Cricetulus griseus: one gene and its partner. The protein of the gene in region 1 binds, or shares a complex with, the protein of each later gene. Links are inferred from orthologs where the notes say so. Each region holds a gene or a part of one and is shown in the gene's direction. Other genes may lie near its edges. The genes, in order: Pdpn and C-type lectin domain family 1 member B.

Evidence for each region.
Region 2: the proteins of Pdpn (region 1) and C-type lectin domain family 1 member B are in contact, whole or in part, in a crystal structure (PDB 3WSR), measured with the Homo sapiens proteins. The link is inferred for Cricetulus griseus from reciprocal best matches to the Homo sapiens genes PDPN and CLEC1B. Residues at the interface, in NP_006465.4 of Homo sapiens: Ala46, Glu47, Asp48, Asp49, Val50; in NP_001380271.1 of Homo sapiens: Arg107, Phe116, Arg118, Arg152, Thr153, His154, Leu155, Arg157.

What each region holds. Positions count from the first base shown.
Region 1 is NC_048595.1:9,940,193-9,944,014, forward strand, and holds part of Pdpn (podoplanin), read left to right. Parts: intron 1-328; coding exon 329-465; intron 466-2,780; coding exon 2,781-2,922; intron 2,923-3,822. UniProt on the Homo sapiens protein: Mediates effects on cell migration and adhesion through its different partners.
Region 2 is NC_048601.1:16,667,881-16,671,417, reverse strand, and holds part of C-type lectin domain family 1 member B, read left to right. Parts: intron 1-107; coding exon 108-259; intron 260-1,917; coding exon 1,918-2,024; intron 2,025-3,537. UniProt on the Homo sapiens protein: C-type lectin-like receptor that functions as a platelet receptor for the lymphatic endothelial marker, PDPN.

The sequences.
Region 1 (3,822 bases):
CTACACAGGATGCCCAACTGAATGCTTTAGTTGGGAAGACACTGGCTCTTTACCGGAAAGGGAAGGGTAGGCATGTACATGTCCAGCCCCAGCTGGCAGCTTCACCATGTGTCTCCGTTTTCCTTTGCATCTCAGTGGAGACAACCAGATCATGGGGTGTGTCAGAGGCTCCACAAGGACACTGGTGTGGGCCCTGGTACTGTGACTGGTCAGAAAGGACCACACTGTACACACTGTAAGAAACATAATTGGGTGTGGCTGTAGGTGGCCAATTGGCTCCACCCATATCCTTTGCAAACTGAATCCCTGACTGGCCTTTCTTTTTCAGCGGCCATAGGCCCACTAGAAGATGATATTGTGACCCCGGGTACAAGAGATGGCCTGGTGACCCCAGGTCTAGAAGACAGAATAGCAACCACAGGGGCTACTGGAAGACTGGATGAATCTACTGGCAAGGGACCTCTGGTGAGTGCCTAGGGACAGGGGGAGTTGGCGCCAAAGGCAGGCTGTGACATGCCACAGTATGATGTATACTTATATGTGAAATCAGCGGCTGTACAACAAAATAGTGGCATGGCTCAGGACAGAAGGTACATCCAAGTCTCATCCAGGGACAAGGGAGCTGGTGTGGTGGGCACAGACAATCTGAGAGCAGTAGAACACATCTTCTCAAAGTAGTAAGAAATCAGTTTAGTGTTTGCAAACCTGAGCCTCATGAGGCCAGGTGTTTTGGCACATGTGTTTAATCCCAGTACCCAGGAGGCAGAAGCAGGCAGAGCTCTGTAAATATGGGCCAGCCTGGTCTACATGGCGAGTTCCAGGACAGCCAGAGCTACATAGTGAAGCTCTGTCAATTAAACAAACAAACAAGCTAAAAAGGACTAGATTCCGGGAGGTTTGGTAGGTTCCTGGGGAGGTGGGAGGGGGTCACCTAGAGGGAGCATGAAAGCCCCAAGCCAGTTACTATATACCTAACTGTGTATCTCTTCACCCAGATCATTTGCTCTATCCTCAGTGATGAGCAATAAAAAAGTTAAAAAGCCAACACTGGGCTGGGGAAATGGCTCAGTCAGTAGCATGCATGCCTTGCCATCATGAGGACCTGCGTTTGATCCCTAAAACCCATGTAAAAGTTAGAGGGGATGGTACCTGCTTGTAACCCTCGCTCTGGAGATACTGAGAAAGGAGAATCCCTGGGGTCTGCTGGCCAGCTAGCCTAGCCCAATAAGCATGCCCCAAGACAGTGAGAGTCCTGTCTCTTGAAACAACAAACACACATTCACACACATCCACTGTGTAGAATGATTTTTTTTTTTCCTTTGGGCCACCAGCTCAAAAAAAAAAAAAAAAAAAAAGACATGGAGACTTATTAATTATGAAAACTTGGCCTAGAGCTTAGGATTATCCCAATAACTCTTACAACTTAAATGAGCCCATTTTTATGAATCTACATTTTGTCTCATGGCTTTTCTTTTTTTTTTTAAAGATTTATTTATTATGTATACAACATTCTGTCTGCATGTATCCCTGCACGCCTGAAGAGGGCACAGGACCTCATTATAGATGGTTGGGAGCCACCATGTGGTTTCTGGGAATTGAACTCAGGACCTCTGGAAGAGCAGTCAGTTCTCTTAACCTCTGAGCCATCTCTGCAGCCCAATGTCTTGTGGCTTTGTAACCTCCCTTCCGTCTTGCTCCTCCTGTTTCCTCTCAGTCTCCCCATGTCTCTCTCGTGCCCTCTCCTTTTCTCTCTCTCTGCCTGGAAGTCCTGCCTAACCTCTTCCTGCCTAGCTATTGGCCATTCAGCTCCTTGTTAAACCAATCACAGTGACATATCTTTACACAGTGTGAAGGAAATTTCCACAACACTTCACCCCCTCCCCTACATACGTTTACTCTTAAAACCAGAACCACTTCCTAGCCTCTGCCGTCATGGAATGGCTGTGAGGGATCTTTCCTGCAGGAAGTCAGCTCACATTATGAAACCTCTTCAGCTTTGTTCATTGAATTTACTTTAGAAAGTTGCCTGTGGTCTACTGAGAATATTGAGAACGTATTTAAAGGGCCTGGTACAAAGGAAGCTGTCGGCGACAGTGAGCTGTCCCCCTCCACGTAGTTCTGCCAAATCGGTGCTACAAGAGGAAAGTGCTATTCCAATTCTAGGGAGAGAAAATATTAGGTGAGCCAGTTTGTTTTTTTGTTTTGTTTTGTTTTTTTGTTTGTTTGTTTTGTTTTGTTTTCAAGAGCTAAGGGACAGGAAGTCTGCATGCCCAACATTTAAAAGTTCATTTCTGGACTGAACCTGGTTTTACCCCTATCTCTACTCTTTCTTGTCGAGAACAGGGTTTCTCTGTTTAACAGCTCTGGTGGTCCTGGAACTCACTCTGTAGACCACGCTGGCCTTGAACTCCTAGAGATCCACCTGCCCCTGCCTCCCAAAGGCCTGCAGCACCACTGCCCAGCTCCACCTGCACTCTTGTTTGTTTGCATCTGGGATTTATTCTTGTGTGTTTTGAATACATGCTACCTTAAAATATTTCCTTTAGGAAGTCAGACACTGTATGGTTTTTTGGTTTTTCGAAACAGGGTTTCTCTGTATTGCTTTGGAGGTTGACCTGGAACTCACGCTGTAGACCAGGCTGGCCTGGAACTCACAGAGATCCAGCTGCCCCTGCCTCCTGAGTGCTGGGATTAAAGGCGTGCGCCACCAATGCCCGGCAACACTGTATGTCTTAAATACGAGCCTTTATTTTCTCTTTTGCCTTGCTCACTCCTAACAGGTACCACACACAAAGATTCCCTTTGAGGAACTGCCAACTCCAGGAACCTCAGACCCTGATGGAGAAGAACATAAGAGTACAACCACTGTCAGAATGGTGACTAGCCACTCTGCAGATAAGGAAACAAGTCACCCCAACAAAGGTGGGTCCACTCTTACGGAACCCATGAAACCCAGAAGCAGAAGAGTCAGAGACTGAAAGTATAAATTCCATGCCAAGCTTTGTGTGCTGGGTACAGAATCCAATATCAACTTTAGTTTACTGGCTTTCTGGGACTATCTCTCAACCTTGAATTGTAACTAGTGGCAACTCCCTGCAAGGGCCAGCCGCTGGCTCTGGGTGTTGCGTTGCTGACCCCGAGTTAAGATTCTTGTGTTAGCCGGGCATTGGTGGTGCACGCCTTTAATCCCAGCACTCTGGAGGCAGAGGCAGAGGCAGAGGCAGAGGCAGAGGCAGGTGGATCTCTATGAGTTCGAGACCAGACTGGTCTACAAGAACTAGTTCCAGGATAGGCTCCAAAGCCACAGAGAAACCCTGCCTTGAAGAACCAAAAAGACTCTTGTGTTAATGCATACTTCCAGGTGCAGGTGCCAGTCTGGCTTTAAGAACTCTACAGTACTTGCAAGGATTTACAAAATGATTTTACATCCAGGTGTGGTAGCACATGTCCATAACGCTCATTTTCTGAGGCACAAGGATTGCAAATTGGACACTAGCCTGGGCTACCCAGTAAGACTTTATTTGTCAAAACAAAATAATAGCATGGGACTGCAGGAGATGCTGCTTCAAGTGCAAAACAAAACCTTGCAGATTGGTATGCCTGTGTACAGATCACTATCCACAACATTTAACACATGGAAGCAACTCAGTATTCCCAAACAAATGAATGGAGAAAAAATATAATATGTACACACAGTGGGATATTACTTAGCCCCAAAAGAGAAATAAATGCTTACAGATGCTATAATATACGTGAGGCGAGTTCAGCCAGACACCAAGGACAATATGGTGTGAGCCCACTTGCATGAGGTACCTAGAGGTG
Region 2 (3,537 bases), on another chromosome or scaffold:
GTGTGTCTGTTGTGGTAACAGGAGGGAGGCCCACCAGAGCAGGCACACTGCACCTGGGGAAAGCTGCAGCCGGATTTTGACAGCCCCAAATTTGGTCTCCCCTTCAGAGCACAAGTGCAGCCCCTGTGCCTCAAGGTGGAGATACCATGGAGACAGTTGCTATGGGTTCTTCAGACATAACCGAACGTGGGAAGAGAGCAAGCAGTATTGTGCTGAGCAGAATGCAACGCTTGTGAAGGCTGCCAGCCAGGGGACTGTGGTAAGGAGGGTCCCATGTCAAACATACGGGAACTTAAGGAAAAAGCTCTCAAATGAAACATGGAATCTGGTTTTTTTTTTCCTTTCTTTTTAAAAATGTGTTTCTTAATGGCTTGCACTTGGTGCTCCTCTGAGAAATTTAGGAAGCTTGATAACAAATACAGAGCTTACATATTCAATCCAGTAATATTCCAGAATATCACAACAGTGTTTCAGTGAGACTGGATTGCGTGTGCCTCCATGACAGCAAAAGTGGACAGTGGGTGGGACAGGATGAGTCAGCAGCGGGTGACACTCCCATCACATTTATTCCAGTTTGTGTGCGTTTCTGTCTAAATTCATAGAGAAGGTTAAAATTAACGAATATATTTACCCAGTCAAAACAGGGGCGTGTCCTAGCATGTCAACTCCATTATAAAGAGATTGCACAGAGACATGAAACATGCTACGACTCCCATCATTCCAGACTGACACCACTTGAAAATCTGTAAGATAACAAAAGAAGTATCACCATTTTAAGAAAAAAAGGTTAAAAACCAATTGGATTTTTCCATCAAGTCCAACAGGGAGGCATCTTGGGCAGTGTGGATATGTATCTATCTATATGGTCATGTTTTAGAGAAAAGCGATTGATGGATTAACAGAAAGGCGGTGGGTGGCCCAAGTGTCTCCTGCGCAGTGTTATTCTGTGTGTTACACTTCTGCCCACAAGCTCAAAACAATTTTGTTTTGTTTTGTTGCTTTCAAGGGTGAATTCTTGTCTGCTATTCTGGGATGCATGAAGGCATAATGAATATTTGGCTTCCTTTTGCTTTTCTCTCCGAGAGATTGATTGTCCATTCATCTAATAGTCAATCTGTATGCACTGGAACCACTCTGGGACCTGCATCTATGTACTCAATAAAACCAAAAGCGATGAATTTAAGAAAATTAGCTGGGCAGCCTTTAATTCTAGCATAGGAGATGTAAAGGCAGGCAGATCTATGAGTTTGAGCCTACCCAGGTCTGCAGAGTGAGCTCCAGGACATACAGGGATACACAGAGAAACCCTGTCTTGAAAAACCAAACAAAATAACAAAAATAAATTATAACCAGGCAGGAAAAAGTAAATCAGAGCCAGATGTGGCAGTGTATGTTTACATAGTGATAGCTCAGGCTAGAATTACGTTTGGGGCCAGCTTGGGCTACACAGTAAGAATTTATCTAAAAGGAGAAAGAAAGCATAGAAAAATGTATATTTGGAAAGGTAGAAGTTCTCTATTCATGCAACTAAAACAAATTAATATTTCTGTATATAAGATAATCAATAAAATCCAAGAACTTAATTCATTTTGTTTCTTGTCATCTGTAGTTGCATTCATCCCAATTGAATCATATTTAGGGGTCTCCCTGGAACTAAAATTTTTAATTGGTAGAAAATACAAAAATACATTATAAAAACATAGGAAAACTAGAATATTACCTATATAATGCAATTTATCTTGTGCTCTATACACTTTTTAGTGTCTCAAAACAAACTAGCAAAATCCTAGACATGAAATATAACTCATCAATAGCAACATAGGTGTGTAATTTCAGATGCTTGCTTGAGGCTTGTGTCACTGTCATTGCACAGTGCTTGTGGAGGCACTTACCATTTTATGGATTTGTTTGCAACAGGAATACCTCACAAGCAGGATTACTTCTGTCCGTTGGATTGGATTATCACGTCAGAACTCTAATAAGGACTGGATGTGGGAAGATAGCTCAGTTCTTCCCAAGAATATGTAAGTCTCTGGTAGCTCAGCTTAGAAGGCGTTACTCAAAGCTTCAAGTCACATATTTCTTGTAGAACACAAGTTGCCTGAAAGTCGAGATGTCTCTCTACCCCACTATGGGTTGTAGCTGTCAGTCACATGTGACTAATCTCTCTCTCTCTCCCCCTCCCTCCCTCTCTCCCTCTCTCTCTCTCTCACCCCCTCCCTCCCTCTCTCTCTCTCTCTCTCTCTCTCTCTCTCTCTCTCTCTCTCTCGTGTGTGTGTGTGTGTGTGTGTGTGTGTGTGTGTGTGTGTGTGTGGTGTGTAAATTGGCCTAATTCTTTTGTGCTTTGAGAATAAATTTCTCTTTTTCATTATTTTATGGTTGGAGTAATTACCATCAAGTTTATTTTCACTATCTGTTCGTCCTGTGGGTCTCTACAAACCAGGTAGATTGTAGATCACAAGGCAATTCCAATGCTTTACAATAAGTCTCCACACTTCTAATGGCATTGTAGGCAAATGACCTCATTTCACCGAGTTGTGTTATTCAATATGGCTCTGTCTCACCTTAATTTTTTAAAATTTAAAATTTAGTATGTGTGCATGTGTGTATGAGAGATAGGTAGGGAGAGAGAGAGAGAGAGAGAGAGAGAGAGAGAGAGAGAGAGAGAGAGAGAGAGAGAGAGATCCGCATGCCACATTGTATGAGAGTGTAGGTCAGAGGACAACTTGGGGGAGTTAGTTAGTTAGTTTTATCCATCCACCATGTAGGTCCTGGAAATCAAATATAGGTCAGCAAACTTGCAAGCAAACACCTTTCTTTGCTGAGCCATCTTGCTGGCTCTCAATACAGCTCTCTAGCCACTAGTTTCAACATCTTTTGTTTATTTGGCACAACATTGCACTCTCTCTGTCCAGAATTTATAACAAAAGCTTATACAATTCTATCATTATTTAAATAAATAACTAAGGCAACATGTATTTATTATTTACCTTGGACAGAATCTCAGACACACAAATACATACAAACCTGCAAACCATGGCCCTTAACTCTCATTGCTTACTGCCTTGCTCACAATATTGCAGGAAAGTGGTGTTCTTTCTAAATTCTCAAGGAGTCAAGTTCCCCTTTTCCTCCTAGATTCCATGACCAACTCTTTTTTTCCCCAAGAAATTATTTTTTATTAGTTCAAATTAGAAACAAGCCTGCTTCACATGTCAATCTCTGCTCATTCTCCCCCCCTCCTTTCCCACTCCCCACCAGCCCCCCACCCCAAACTCCCTCTGTTCCCCAGGGAGGGTAAGGCCCTCCATGGGGATCCCCAAAGTCTGTCATATAATCCTGGGCAGGGCCTAGCCCTTCCCCCATTTTTCCAGGCTGAGAGAGTATCCCTCCACGTGGAATGGGTCCCAAAGTCCTTTGTTACTCTGGGGATAAATACTGATCTACTACCAGGGGCCCCATATGTTTCCAAGGCCTCCTCACTGATACCCACGTTCAGGGGTCTGGATCAGTCCGTGCTGGCCTCCCAGACATCAG